Struthio camelus: one gene and its partner. The protein of the gene in region 1 interacts with the protein of each later gene in a biochemical or structural test. Links are inferred from orthologs where the notes say so. Each region holds a gene or a part of one and is shown in the gene's direction. Other genes may lie near its edges.

Evidence for each region. The genes of interacting proteins can lie anywhere in the genome.
Region 2: the proteins of PTEN (region 1) and RPS9 form a complex in vitro, tested with the Homo sapiens proteins (2 studies listed by BioGRID). The link is inferred for Struthio camelus from reciprocal best matches to the Homo sapiens genes PTEN and RPS9.

The regions. Positions count from the first base shown.
Region 1 is NC_090948.1:43,321,331-43,329,176, forward strand, and holds the start of PTEN (phosphatidylinositol 3,4,5-trisphosphate 3-phosphatase and dual-specificity protein phosphatase PTEN), read left to right. Parts: upstream 1-4,565; 5' UTR 4,566-4,645; coding exon 4,646-4,724; intron 4,725-7,846. UniProt on the Homo sapiens protein: Dual-specificity protein phosphatase, dephosphorylating tyrosine-, serine- and threonine-phosphorylated proteins.
Region 2 is NW_027182668.1:39,744-46,996, reverse strand, and holds the start of RPS9 (small ribosomal subunit protein uS4), read left to right. Parts: upstream 1-4,141; 5' UTR 4,142-4,156; coding exon 4,157-4,339; intron 4,340-5,257; coding exon 5,258-5,369; intron 5,370-5,533; coding exon 5,534-5,656; intron 5,657-5,744; coding exon 5,745-5,931; exon of another isoform or gene 5,932-6,041; intron 6,042-7,145; coding exon 7,146-7,253. Other genes in the region: serine/threonine-protein kinase LMTK3, read right to left, coding at 700-833, 2,250-2,298. UniProt on the Homo sapiens protein: Component of the small ribosomal subunit. The ribosome is a large ribonucleoprotein complex responsible for the synthesis of proteins in the cell. Part of the small subunit (SSU) processome, first precursor of the small eukaryotic ribosomal subunit.

The DNA.
Region 1 (7,846 bases):
TGTAGCTTTGGTCATCCATGCTTCCCTTCATCGAATCTTCTTCAGATCTGTTCTATACTTTTTAAAACGGAACCTGACCAAGAGAGCGAGAGAGAGTTTAGGATGGACGCATAGCATGAATTTAAACACTGACATAATTATTTTCTCTCCCCTTCCTACTAATTCCTGGCATAGTCATGCAGCTTGGATAATGGGATTTCAGCAGCGGTTGTCATGATAAAGATGGTTACCACATAGCTTGATGAAGACCTATCTCACGACTTGCTGACACAATGGCCATTGATAGGCTATTTTCTGCTCAGATTGCTTTTTGGTCTTGTTCTGACTTGGACTCAGGAAGCTAGCCAAAAGAGTTTCAGCTAAGCCATATCAACTTCCTAGAGACAAGGAAGCGTGGCTGGATGTTAGAGGGACACACTTTACACTTGCAGGACCTTTGGAAATGTTTTAAAAGATGGTCTTCATTTGCTAAGCACAAGTATATTTGCCTATGGGTAACCTCTGAGTCCGGGGTCTAAAAGTAGGCGCTGCCGTGAAATCTTTTCATGGGTTCCCTTCATACGTTTGTAGGTTGCAAAAGAACAGTATGATCTGACCGTACACACTAGTTGATCCCAAAATAAATATGAGCTGCCAGTGTGAATAGGAAAATAGGGCCCTAAGATGTCTTAGGAGCAATGTTTCTAGCAGAGTTTGGAAGGGATTAATACCATTGTCCTTGGATCTGGCAAGATACCATCTAGAACACTGCATGCCATTCTGGTCATGTATATTGAAGAGAAATGAGTAAAACTGAAACTGGAGCAGAAAGCCACTACTGAGATGAGGGAGAACGGACAGTTAGGAGAGCTGAGCTAGCTGAGCCTAGTCAGACGAAGGCTAAGAGGGACAACATTTCTATCTGTAAACGCACAAAGGGTAAATATGATGGAGTAAGAGCTATTTAAGGCCAACGCTGGCACCGGAACAAATGGATATAAACCAGTCACAAATATATTTAGCATGAAAATCAGAAGAACATTCTGGGAACAGCTTCTCAGTGGGAATTATGGTAACAAAAGATCTTAAGAGGAAACTTGATACATTTGTGAAAGGAATTATATTATATAGCATTTGCAAAGGCTGGAGGCTGCAGCGACCCAGGAGATCCTTCCACCCTACATTCCAATTTATTTTGACTCTGTTAAAAGCACAACATAAAACTTCATGCTTCAATTCCTCTACCTGTTCCAACCATCTGCAGCTAGACTTCAGCACCTCTCTTAAAAGTCATTTAAAGACTGAACAAGACAACAGATTTATCATATCCTTTGGAGTATCTGAAACATGAATTCCTGTTTGCTGTTCCTCAGAACGGAAACAGTTTCAGAAAGTATTGTCTTACATATGTATAAAAATTTCTATTTATTATCTTTTTATACAGAGAGAGAGAATGTTTTATCCCATCTTTCCTAGTTGACTATGTTGCTTACCAATAAATTTTCCACAGTATCTAACCACTATGCAAGAGAGGCGTTATGATTTTACTCGTAAGTTTCCTGCTCAAATGTATTTGATAACCCTTCGTTAGGTAATGCAATTACTAAGTGAACCATGTAAAAGTTTCCTGCTGGTGTTCCTGGGAGTGCTGTCTTCACTGTGATACCTTGCCTTTCTCAGGCAAGGTATCTTTTGCGGCCAGCCTCAGAAACATTTAACTGATGTCTATGAACTAAGAACCAGGATCTGTTCTTTAGGGAGATTTCTGTCTGGTTTATATCATCCGTTTTTCAAAGAGAGAAGAGGAAGGAATGCACAGGTTCTCTTCTTCCCATGAGGCCAGTTCTTTCCAAAATGTCTCTTTTCTAGTTACAGCGGAAGCGTTTTCTCTTCCCTTTTCTTTTTATTCCTTGTGGATTTCTGGAGATGTCCATCACTCCTTTATAAAGCTAACAGCTGTTTTCTCCTTCCTTTTAAACAGGCTTTCTTCAAAGGTATATTGTCTTTGATGTGCATGGAATATCCCTCAAGTTACCTACCGTTCACCAAAAGAACGTTGTGAAGACAATGTTTTTGAGAGAAGCAAATTTACTTCTACCAAGTAACCCTGTTTCTTCTAAGGTATTATCTGTCAGGGTCTCCTCTGTTCCCTCAATATTTGTGGCAAATGCCCATCTCCAGCAGTTTCCGTTCCTGACGCTTCATGTAAAGTCATGCATTCTAAGTTGCCTTAAAGTATGTTGTTTTGTATTACCCCAACAGGCTAACATTTCACTTGTCTGCACAAAAGAAAAAGCCATAGTCATATCAACTCCGATGGAAAAACTGATAGTTAACTGAGACTCCAGCCAGCTTTCATACTCAGAAGTCCAGCTTGGGATGGGCAGCTTGATAGTCACTGTTCTGCAAATCATTAACATGAGCAATGCTCGCTACCTTAATAAAGCAGTTTTCAGACCGGAGCGTGAAGACACTTATGATGTGATGGTGTTTATCTGTAAAAGTTGCTGTAAAAGGAATGGTCCCATTCCAGTGAAGGCTGGTTTGGAGATTTAGAGACAGCACTTGTCACCTGTCAGGATAATCAATTTTGATCAGCCAGGGCGTGGGGCTGGGGGGCCTTTACAAGTGAGGTTTACCTGATCATCAAGGTGGTGGATAAGCTGCACGTATTACTCGGCTCACTCACCATATTCTGCAGTACTAGAACAAAAGGCCTTGCAATGAAACTAATAGGAGATCAGTTTAAAACGGATAAAAAAGTACTTCTTTATGCAGCAGGGAGCGAGCTTCTGGACCTTGCTGCCACTGGAGCTGGGGGAGGCAGACAGGATCAACAGCATCAAAAAGGGATAAGACAAACTCGCACAGAACACGGCCACCAACGGATGCTAAGGGAAATAAGCAGAGACGTCCCCTCTGGCAGACCGAATTCAACAACCGCACACGCAGAGCACAGAAAGCACCCCAGCTTGCACCCTCTTCCAAAAGGGCGTTCCCGCTATTGGAGAAGTAACACTGCTGTGGCCCAGAAGGGCACTTTCTGTTCCCACCTGCTCGCTCAGATGCCAGAGCCCTGCGTGAAGTACCTACCCCAGGTGGCCAAGACCGCTCGGCCAAAAACCTCTCCCCTGGGACCTCGGTGGCTGCAGGGGGCAGCAGGTGCCCACACACTACTGCCGCGGGTGGAGGACGGCAGCTCCCGAGCAAGCTCCCAGCGTCTTTAACGTGGCAATAAATTACACGAGCACCGGCCACAGCCAGAGGAGAAAACGAGTCTTTTCGGCTGTCCGCGTACCCCCCCCACCCCACGGCGGCCCCCCCCACCCCACGGCGGCCGCCCCCGCGCGCCCCAGTCACCCGCGGCCGCCGTCTCCCACCTCCTTTCCCCGCCGGCGGTCACGCCCCCCCCCTCCCCGCACCGCCGCCCCCGCTCCTCGAGGGGCAGCGGGGCCTCGAGGCTCGTCCCCGCCGCCACGGCAGCGGCCCAAAGCCCGTTTGTCCCGGCTAGGGGAGCCAGGCCGCGGCGCTGCCCCCCCCGCCCCCCGCCCGGGCCGGAGGCGGCGCCGCGCCGCTCGCTCACCTCCGCGGCCCGGCCACTTCCGCCCGCGGAGCGGGGGGGGGGGGGGCCGCCGCGAGCGCGGCGCCGCGCCCACGTGACCTCCCGCAGCCCCGCCGCTCGGCGCCCACGTGACCTCCCCCCCTTCCCAGCGCGCCCCCCCTCCCCCGCCGCTCGGCGATGTGAGCCGCCCGTATCCCTCCGCCGGGCCGCGGCCTCGCCCCCGCAGGGCTGCGGTGGTGGTGGTGGGGTGGGGGGGCGGGGAGCGGGCGGGCGGGCGGCGGCGGCGGCGGGGCGCGGCGGCGGAGCGGGGAGGGGGGGGGCGGGGCGGGCGGCGGCGGTGATGTGGCGGGACTACTTTCTCGCGCCGGCGGAGGCGGCGGCGGAGGGGGCGGGGCCAGCGCTTTCTCCCCTCTCGGAAGTTGCAGCCATGATGGGAGTCTAGCGCTGGCGCGGCGCTGCTGGGCGCGGACGAGGCCGGGGGAGATGAGCCAGGCCGGGCCGGAGCCCCGCACGCCCTGAGTCGCGCCGCCCGCCGCCACCGCCGCCCGCCCGCCCCGCCGCCGCCTGCCGGGGAGCGCTCGCCCGCCCTCCCGCCCGGCTGCGCGGCCCCACCGCGCGGCCCCGGGTCCGCCGCCGCCGCCCCGGGCGGGGAGCGGGGCGGAGCGGGGCCGGGCCGGGGGGGCGCCCCGCGCCGCTGTCACCATTGCTGGGGCCCGGAGCGCCGGAGAGCTGCTCTCTCCGCCTCCGCCGCGCTCGCCTCAAAGACGGCGGCGGCGGCGGCGGCAGCACCCTCAGGGACTCGGCCCGGCTCTCAGCCCTCCCTGCTCGGCCGCCGCCGCCGCTCTCGCCCCGCTCGGCGCAGCGGCGGCAGGACGAGGAGGAGGAGGAGGGGGCAGCCGCCGCCGCCGGGAGCCGCCGCCGCCGCGGGGGGAGGCGGGCCCGCCTGCGCCCCCGCCGCCCGCCGCGGGGCCTCGGGCTGAGCCGCCGGAGCAGCAGGCCCCGCGCCCGGGGCCGCCCGGCAGCCGCCGGCCCCGCGCCCCGCCGCCGCCGCCGCCTCCTGCCGGCCTCTGCGCGCTGTCCCGGAGCGGCCCCCGGCTCCTAGACATGACCGCCATCATCAAAGAGATCGTCAGCAGGAACAAAAGGCGCTACCAGGAGGATGGCTTCGACTTGGACCTGACCTGTATCCCTGCTCGGCCTCCCCGGGCCGCGGCCCCGCGCCCGGCGGGAGATGAAACCCGAAAACCGGTGGTGCACGTACAGCTATTGCATCAGACCCTGCGCGGCGGTTACCTAATGCGCTTCCCGGTGCCGCTCCGCCGGGAGGGAGAGAGAGCGGAGCAGAGCCGGGGGGGCCCCCCGCCCCGCCGCCCTCCGGCCTCCTTTTGTCGGGGAGGCGAGGGGCCGTGCGGATCAACGGGAGCTGCCCGTGGCTAATGGTGATGGCGAAGATTACCGGGAGGGCTCGCTCGCAGTTGCGGCGCGCTTGCGTGCCCGGTGCTGGCACCGCTCCTGATTTGGGTGGTTTGTGCCTCCCCCGGGCCCAGCGGGTCCCCGGCCGTGTCCGAAGTAACGCGGGGCTGCCGCCTCTTATCTCTGGCTGCGCTGGTTTTCAGCTCGGCAAATGACGCCTGTCCTGCCGTGACTCGCGTGCAGAGCGCTTTTCGATTTAGGAACTCGCCTTGAATCGCAAACACGATTGCGGCGTGGCCTGCCGCTTTCCTGGGGCTGCTTAGGTTCGCGTGGCCTGTGTCCTCTGCGCTGATTTTCTTGCGTTAAGCGGGGAGGTATAGCTAGTGCTCTGCTGCAGTCAGGTATGGCCAGCTGCTCAGTTACGGGCAGCAGCGCTCCTCGGTGTTCTTCTAAATGAAAAAAATGCTTCTCTAGATAGCTAAAGTGCTCTGTAAGCCCTACTTTGGCCTAATCTGAGATACTGCATGTATTACCAATGAGAATACATCAGGGCTTGTTGAAGAGGGTAGCGAGGAGCAGTTCTGGAGTATGTAATTAGTATGCAATTAGAACTAATGAGTCAAACCGTAAAGAACTGAGCAGTTTTGGTGGCCTCCTGAACAGATGTGCTCTAGCTACCGCAGACAGATGTTTAGCTTTGAATGCCTTGCAGAGGTAATAGTATGTAGGGCTAGTACTGTGGGTGTACCTTTTCTTCGTGGAGAAGTTCATCGTTATTGTGTTTGAAAGGTTATTAAGTGAGAGAAGAGCCTGATACCGTCTCGCATAAAAGCTAAAACTGTGTTAGGAAAGATGAAAAATGACAGTAGTATTCAGATCTGGACTTAGGATCTTCTACGGACTGAGACTGCTTTCTGCTCTGCAACAGGGTCAGAGTAGGCTTTGCTGTTTTTCAGGGCAAATATATTTATGTCACAGCAAATGCTACATATACAGCCAAATTCTTGGGCAGGATGGAAGCAAACTGCTGTAACTGGTGTAGAGCTCCTGCTGTTACTCTGAGATTTGGCCTAAAATTTTGGTGGCTTTAAAGCAGCTTGAAAGCTTTTGACGTTAGCAGGTGACTGCTGAGCTTAACTAAAAGTAGGAGCTCTGTGTAGTTCTTGTGCTCTGGTTGTGGTATTGATAAAATAGAATTTTAGGCCTGCATTTCATATGTTCTCAGTCGGTCACTTCTTTGGCCTACAATTTGGACAGTTGTAACAGTGACATAGGCCAGCGCAGCGCTTAGCTTATTATTGACTTAAAGACAGAAGTCTGAGTTAGACTTTTTGATTTTTCCGAGTAATGTGCTTGCTGGGAACTTCTGGCTTAAGAGAAGTGTTAAATGGTGACAAAATGATGGGTTTTTGGCTTTTCAGTTGTAGAACTGTTTCAGATGTCTTTGCCCAAATATGCAGTTGGTCAGGAGGGATTTTTGACACAGACAGATCTTCACATCTTTTTAACTACTTATCTGCTTGTATTTATTATGTGCTTCTTGGCAAAAAAACTGCTGAATTTTAGTTGATCCTGGATTTTCTTATTCAAGGCTTTTAATGATATGCCAAATGGAGTTTATTGGGTTTTTTTAGACAACTTTTGTCTCATTAATTTTATTCTTAAAATATTGCCTTAGAAGTAGGTCACTGAAAACTGGACTTAGGCTGATTTTCCTAAAAGCAGTAGCTGACTGCAATTCTGTAATGAAATTTATGGGGAAAAAATGTATTTTAATGATTGTGGAAACACCTCTGGAAGAAGCTTATGCTCACATTAGGTGCTGTTTTAATTCATAGTTGCACATTTTGAACAGATAATTAGTGAATGAAGACACTGCATGCCTGATATAATGGCTATACTGGAAGGCCAACCTTGCTGCAAGAGTGAGATTTTAATATTCTATCATTTTGTGCAGGCTTCATGGAGCTGTTCTCTTCACGAGGTTTTGAGGGAATCGTTGCTACCTCATTCTTGGAAAATAGCCTTCTTACTTGAGTAGACAGAGGACTGAGCTTGGAGCTGAGCTTTCCAACCATGCAATGTTAGATGAAGAAAGAGGAAAAAATTGTAACCCAAATGAAAAAAAATTGAAACCTAAATGAGCTCTTTGGGAAGGTATGTGGTGTATGATAGCAGAATTGGGATTTAAATTCTCCAATCAGTTTCTCGCTGTGTGCTGGAGAGCGAGTCAAGCTTGCATCTAGGTTTCTGCTGTTGGTTAGCTGGCCTTCCCTGGCTTTCCAAGCTAAAGGAGAAAGTCTTACAGGACTATATAGCCCAGTGATTTGGCCTTTTAGCTGGGATGTGGGAAACTGAAGTATGAATTTCTTCTTCCAGTAAATATTTTTATACAGAGTAGATCAGTGTTAGTGGAGGTTCCAAAATACTTAGTAACTGACGGTTTCCTAGACTGTGGGAGATGGAGAGTCAAATCTTACTGTGAATCTGCTAGAGTAAGGACGGGAATCCAGGTGAGGTATCTGATCACCAAACTTTGAATTGGGCTGTGCGGTCCGTCTTTTCCTGCACCTATCCTTGAGGGCCGGTTCATGTCTTGGAATCGCAGGGGGACAAAGACTTGTAGTCTTTACATTTCAGTCATGGCTACTTCTCCCAAGGCCTTTTAGGGAATATCTTAGTGCCAAAATATAGGCTGAGTTAGGTGCTGGAGTGCCAAAGTACCCTTTGAGGACCTGGGCTTTTTTCTTCTTTTGGGCCATGTCAAATCCATTTAAACTAACATAGATTCATGTATGGTAGAGTACGTCGTACTTTCCTGGATGGGACTTACAGTTCCTAAAGACTTGGTTAAGAATTCTTCTTACAGGGGTGATGTAGAATTTTAGGAAT
Region 2 (7,253 bases), on another chromosome or scaffold:
CCAGCATCCCAGCATCCCCCACCCCCGAGCTCTTAGGTGACCTAGAACCCCCCTCAAACTGTCCCAATTCCCCCTTGGGTGACCTGGAACGCCCATAGGACCCCTTCCAAGCCCCTTTTAGGTGCCTACAAGCACCCGCAGGGTCCCCTTTAGCTGTTGGGTAACCTAGAACGCTCCTTGAACCACCCCAAGCCCACATTGAGTGACTGAGAACACCCACAGGCCCCCCTCTCTAGCCCCTGTTGGGTGCTCTTGAGCACCCATGGGGTCCCCTCGAGCTGTGGGGTGACATAAAGCCCCATAGATCCCCACCCTGAGCAGCCACTGGATGACCTAGAGGGCCTACAGGATCACCTTGAGCTGTTGGGTGATCTAGAACCCCCTTGAACCACCCCAAGAGCCCACTGGGTGACCCAGAGCATCCATAGGCCCCCTCCCAAGCCCCTGCTGGGTGCCCTTGAGCACCCATAGAGTCCCTCCAAACTGATGAATGACCTAGAACCCTCTCCCCCTTGAACGATCCCAAGCCCCCCTTGAGGAACCCAGAAAGCCCATAAGACCCTCCCCAACCACTGTTGGGTCCCCCCAAACTGTTGGGTGACCTAGAACCCCCTCCTTGAACCATCCTGAGCCCTCGTTGAGCGACCTAGAGCACCCACAAGCCCCCCCCCCGAGCCCCCGTTGGGTGCCCGCCGCCACCTTGAAGCCGACGTCGCCCCGCTTGCAGCAGAGGCAGGTGAGGAGGAGGAGGACGAAGGCCAGGAGGCCGGAGCAGGAAATGAGCACCACGGCGTAGGGGGGGGCCAGGGGCACCCGGCCTGGCGGCAGGCTCCCTGCGGGCACCGAGGCTCATTGGGGGGGGGCAATGCTGGGGGGGACGGTGGGGCTAGAGGGGGCTGCGGGGCTGATTTGGGGAGGTCTGGGGGGGTCCATAGGGCTGGGAGGTGCATGGGGCTCATTGGGGGGGTCTGGGGGGGGTCCATGGGGCTAGGAGGTGCATGGGGCTCATTGGGGGGGTCTGGGGGGGATCCATGGGGCTGGGAGGTGCATGGGGCTCATTGGGGGGGTCTGGGGGGGTCCATGGGGCTGGGAGGTGCATGGGGCTCATTGGGGGGGTCTTGGGGGGTCCATAGGGCTTGGGGGATCCATGGGGCTGATTTGGGGGAGCAGGGGGGTCCATGGGGCTGATTTGGGGGGGTTCATGGGGCTGGGGGGGTCCATGGGGCTGATTTGGGGGAGATTGGGGGGGTTCATGGGGCTGGGGGGGTCCATGGGGCTGATTTGGGGGAGATTGGGGGGGTTCATGGGGCTGGGGGGGTCCATGGGGCTGATTTGGGGGGGATTGGGGGGTTCATGGGGCTGGGGGGGTCCATGGGGCTGATTTGGGGGGGATTGGGGGGGTTCATGGGGCTGGGGGGTCCATGGGGCTGATTTTGGGGGGGTCTGAGGGGTTCCATGGGGCTGAGGGGTCCCGGGCGGCTGATTCAGGGCCCCCTCCTGGGGGCTGTTCCCCCTCCCCAAGGACCCTGCAGGGGGGGGCTCAGCCCCCTCCCCCCCAATCCTACCCCCCCAGTGGGGTGAGGGGGGCCCCGAACGCCTGGGTCCTTCCCCAGCTGCCCCCCCCCGCCCCCGGCAAGGCCACAGGGATGGAGGGATGGGGACAACGGCGGGATGGGGACAACGGCGGGATGGAGGGAGCAGGGGATGGAGGGATGATGACAACAGCAGGATGGTGACAACGGAGGGAAGGGGACAACGGAGGGATGGAGGGAAGGGGACAACGGAGGGATGGTGACAACGGAGGGAAGGGGACAACGGAGGGATGGTGACAACGGCGGGATGGTGACAACGGCGGGATGGAGGGATGGGGAGAGCGGAGGGACGCAGGGACGGAAGGAAGGGGACAACGGAGGGATGGAGGGATGGTGACAACGGCGGGATGGTGACAACGGCGGGATGGTGACAACGGAGGGATGGAGGGACGGAGGGAAGGGGACAACGGAGGGATGCAGGGCCCGGGGGCCGGAGGGATGGGGACAACGGAGGGGTGGTGGGGCGGGGGGGGACGGGAGGGGGGCGGTGACAACGGAGGGCCGGCGGGGCCGGAGGGATGGGGCGGCCGGAGGGACGGGTTGGACAGAGGGATGCGGGGATGGAGGGGTGGATGACGGGACGGAGGGACGGACGGACGGAGGGAGGGACGGATGGATGGAGGGGGGGGGGACGGCCGAGGGGCCGGGGACACTCACCGCGGGGGGCGGGCGCCCCCAGGGCGCCGTGGGGCCCGAGCGAGGCCATGGCGGCGGCGGCGGCGGCGGCGGCCAGCAGCGGGGGGGGCCCCGGGCGGCGCATCCCGGCGCCCCGCTCGGCATCAGCGCCCCTAGCGCGGGGGGGGGCCGGGGGGGGCAGGCGGGGGGCCGGGGGGGGCCGCGGCCGCCGCCCGCATCCCGGCAGGCAGGAGAGGGGCCGGGGGGGGGGCAAGAAAAGGGGTTGGGGGGGCAAGAAAGGGGGATGAGGGAGCAAGAAAGGGGGATGGGGGCTATAAGGGGGGGTGGGGGCAATAAAGGGGGGTGGGGGGCAATAAAGGGGGCTGGGGCAACAGGGAGAGGATAAAGGAGATGGGGGCAATAAGGGGGGCAATAACAGGGCGGGGGGGTAAATAGCAGGGCGGGGGGGTAAATAGCAGGGTGGGGGGGCTGTAGCGATGCGGGGGGGCAATAGCGGAGGCGCCCAGGAGCCGCCGGCGCGGCCGGGCGGGAGGATGCTGCTGCTGCCCCCCCCCCCTCCCCGGCCCCGCCCCGCCCCGCCCCCGCCGGGCGCCGCCTCCCATTGGCCGCGGCGGCCGTCCGTCACGGCGGGGTGAGGGATGCAGGGTCGCCATGGCGACGGGGCTGGGTACCGCGGGGCGGGGGGGGGGGAAGGAGGGATGCGCGGGGGGGGGGACACGCGTGGACAGGCGGGCAGGGGGCGCGACCGGGGACACGGGGGAGGCGTGGACAGGGGACGCGCAGGGACACGCGGGAGAGAACACGCAAGGACACGCGTGAACGGGCAGAGAACACGCGCGGACACGCAGGGATGCGCATGGACACGTAGACGGGGACCTGCAGACAGGACACGGAGCAACACGCAGGGACACGTGGACAGGGGACACGCGGACAGGGGACACGTGCAGGGACACGCGTGGACACGCACGGACAGGGGACTCACACAGCAACACGCAGGACGCGCATGGACATGCAGACGGGACACATGCAGGGACACGCAGGGACACGTGTGGACACGCATGGACGGGGGACACGTGCAGGGACACGCAGGACACGCGTGGACATGCTGACGGGACACACACGGCGACATTCATGAACATGCAGGACACGCAGGGAGAGAACGTGCAGGGACACGTGTGGACACGCAGACGGGACACGTGCAGCGACACGCAGGGACACATGGGGACACAGACAAGGGACCCGCGTGGACACGCAGACAGGGCCACACGCAGTGACATACACGGATACACAGGGACGCACAGGCAGAGAACACGCAGGGACACGTGGACATGGGTGGAGATGCAGGGACACGCGTGGACACGCAGGGATGCGCGCGGACGTGGGGACAGAGGACCCACAGACAGGACACAGGAACACGCAGGGACACGCAGACAGGGACACACGCAGCGACGCACACGGATGCACAGCGACACGCCAACAGAGAACACGCAGGGACACGCGTGAACACGTAGGGACGTGCAGACAGGGGACACGTGTGGACATACAGACAGGGGACACGCAGGGGTGCGTAGGGACACACAGGGGACACACAGTGACATACATGGAGGAACACGCAGACGGGGACATGCAAGGACACGCATGGAACCACAGAGACACGCGTGGACACGCAGGCGGGGGACACACCGGGACAGGCGGACGGGACCCGGGGCGAGGGGAACACGCGTGGGCCGGCGGACAGGGACACGCCGATGACACGCAGCACGGCACGTGTAGCGTGCCCGAGCGGCACGCGGGGACCTGGGGACACGCGTGGGACGGGGTGGCCCCGCTTCGCACCGGGCGCTGCGCAGCGCCGAGTACCCCCACTCCCGCGCCCCTCCCTCCCGGAACAATGGCGCCGCCCTCCCTGGAGCCGCTCTACCCACTCTATGCTCAAACACCGCCCGGACATTGGCCAGTGCCACCGCTCTCTCTCATTGGCCGGCGCGCCTCGCCTGCTGCGCGGCCATTGGCTGCCGCCGCCGAGGGGGGGCGGGGCTCTGCCGGCCGCCCTATATAAAGCGCCGCTGTGGGGCGGCCTCCTCCTTTTGCGGCGGCGCCGGGGCAGCGAGGTGAGGCCCGGGCGGGCCCGGCGGGGCGGGCGGGCGGCCGCAGCCCCGGAGAGGTGCCGGGGGCCGGACCGGGTTAGGCCGGACCGTTGGGGTTTTGGGGGGGGGGGCGGCGGGGACCGGGCAGGGCCGTGGGGCTACCGGGGGGGGGGAGTGTGTGTGTGTGTGTTGCTCCCGCGTCCGCTCTGCGCATGCGCGGTTGGGAGTCCGCCGTGTGGCGAGGCCGCAGCTGCGCAGGCGCGGGGGGGGGGAACTGACACGGGCGCTCCGCGCATGCGCAGAAAGACTCCACGTGGTGCCCCCCCCTCCCGCCAAGGGGGGGGGGGTGGAGCGCAGTTTGGGGGCGACCCGGCACCCCCCCCGGGATGGGGGGGGGCTGAGACCCCGTTATTGCCCTGGGCTCGCTTTTGGGCCCCCCCGGTGGGCTGAGCCCTTGGCATTGCTGTAATGGAGATGTTTGAGGGGGTGAGAGCCCCCCCGGGGCTCTGTTTGGGGGGTGCCCGCCCCCCCCGGGGATGCCGGTGCCCCCCCCGGGGCTCTATTTGGGGGGTGCCCGCCCCCCCCCCGGGGATGCCGGTGCCCCCCCCCGGGGCTCTATTTGGGGGGTGCCCGCCCCCCCCGGGGATGCCGGTGCCCCCCCCCGGGGCTCTATTTGGGGGGTGCCCGCCCCCCCCCCGGGGATGCCGGTGCCCCCCCCCGGGGCTCTATTTGGGGGGTGCCCGCCCCCCCCCGGGGATGCCGGTGCCCCCCCCCGGGGCTCTGTTTGGGGGGTGCCCGCCCCCCCCCCGGGGATGCCGGTGTCCCCCCCCGGGGCTCTGTTTTGGGGTGCGTGGTTAATGTAGAGGAGATCCTGAACACAAGGCGGGGCCCCAACCCATTTTGGGGGGGGGTATCCATCCCTCCCCCCCCCTCCTCCTCCAGGCCCCCTCGGCCACCATGCCGGTCGCCCGGAGCTGGGTCTGCCGAAAAACCTACGTCACCCCCCGGCGCCCCTTCGAGAAGTCCCGGCTCGACCAGGAGCTGAAGCTCATCGGTGAGTGCGGGAGCGGAGGTGGGGTCCTCCGCCTCTGGGTTTTGGGGGGGGGTACGAGACCCCTCAACACCCCCCTAACCCACCGCACGGGTTTGGGGGGGGGTGGAGAGGGGGGTCCGAAGCCTCGCTGACCGCCCCCCACGCCGGCGGTGCTACTCCGCCAGGCGAATACGGGCTGAGGAACAAGCGGGAGGTCTGGAGGGTGAAGTTCACCCTGGCCAAGATCCGCAAGGCGGCCCGGGAGCTGCTGACGCTGGACGAGAAGGACCCGCGGCGCCTCTTCGAGGGTGAGCGGCCGCCCCCGGGGGGGGCCTTTTCGGGGGGATGGGGAGGGGATCCGACAGCCCCTTCCCCCCCCCACATCCGCCTCCGCAGGCAACGCGCTGCTGCGGCGCCTGGTGCGCATCGGCGTGCTGGACGAGGGCAAGATGAAGCTCGACTACATCCTGGGGCTGAAGATCGAGGACTTCCTGGAGCGGCGCCTGCAGACGCAGGTCTTCAAGCTGGGCTTGGCCAAGTCCATCCACCACGCCCGGGTGCTCATCCGCCAGCGGCACATCCGGTGGGTGCCGCCCGGACGCCGGGGCCCCTCGCCCGGGTAGAGCTGGGAGGTCGGCAAGGCTCACTGCGGCGCCGCCGTACACCTTGCGAAGGGGGGGGGCCGAGCCGCAGGTAACCTCCCGGCTTCGCCTCGCTTTCGGGGGGGGCCGTTTTGGGGTGTTTCCTTGCGATTTTGGTCCCTGGTTCCCTCGCAGGATCCTCGGGGGCTGCTTCCCCCTGGTTTTGGGGCCGTTTTGGGGTGTTTCATTGCGATTTCAGCCCCGGTTCCCTCGCAGGATCCTCGGGGGCTGCTTCCCCCTGGTTTTGGGGCCGTTTTGGGGTGTTTCATTGCGATTTTGGTCCCTGGTTCCCTCGCAGGATCCTCGGGGGCTGCTTCCCCCTGGTTTTGGGGCCGTTTTGGGGTGTTTCATTGCGATTTCAGCCCCGGTTCCCTCGCAGGATCCTCGGGGGCTGCTTCCCCCTGGTTTTGGGGCCGTTTTGGGGTGTTTCATCACAATTTCGGCCCTGGTTCCCTCGCAGGATCCTCGGGGGCTGCTTCCCCCTGGTTTTGGGGCCGTTTTGGGGTGTTTCATCACAATTTCGGCCCTGGTTCCCTCGCAGGATCCTCGGGGGCTGCTTCCCCCTGGTTTTGGGGCCGTTTTGGGGTGTTTCATCACAATTTCGGCCCTGGTTCCCTCGCAGGATCCTCGGGGGCTGCTTCCCCCTGGTTTTGGGGCCGTTTTGGGGTGTTTCATCACAATTTCGGCCCCGGTTCCCTCGCAGGATCTTTGGGGGCTGCTTCATCCCGTTTTTGGGGCTCTTTTGGGTTTCTTAGTGGCTTTTTCAGCCTTGGGGGGCTTCTTCCCCCTGTTTGTGGGGCTGTTGAGGGCTCTTTGAGGGCAGTTCAAGCCCTGAGGGCTCCCTGGGGCCGACCTCATCCTGTTTTCGGGGCTGTTTAGGGTTGTTTGGGGGCTGTTTGAGCCCTGAGGGTGGTCTCATCCTATTTTTGGGGCGGTTTGGGGTCGCTGTGCCCCCCGGGGGCGGCCCGGCTCCCCGTTGGGGGCGGTTTGGGGTTGCTGCGCCCCCCGGGGGCGGCCCGGCTCCCTGTTTGGGGTCACTCTGCCCCCCGGGGGCGGCCCGACTCCCCGTTGGGGGCGGTTTGGGGTCGCTGCGCCCCCCGGGGGCGGCCCGGCGCCCCGCGGCGGGGTGGGTTTGAGCCCCCCGGGCGCCCCGCAGGGTCCGCAAGCAGGTGGTGAACATCCCGTCGTTCATCGTGCGCCTGGACTCGCAGAAGCACATCGACTTCTCGCTGCGCTCGCCCTACGGCGGCGGCCGGCCCGGGCG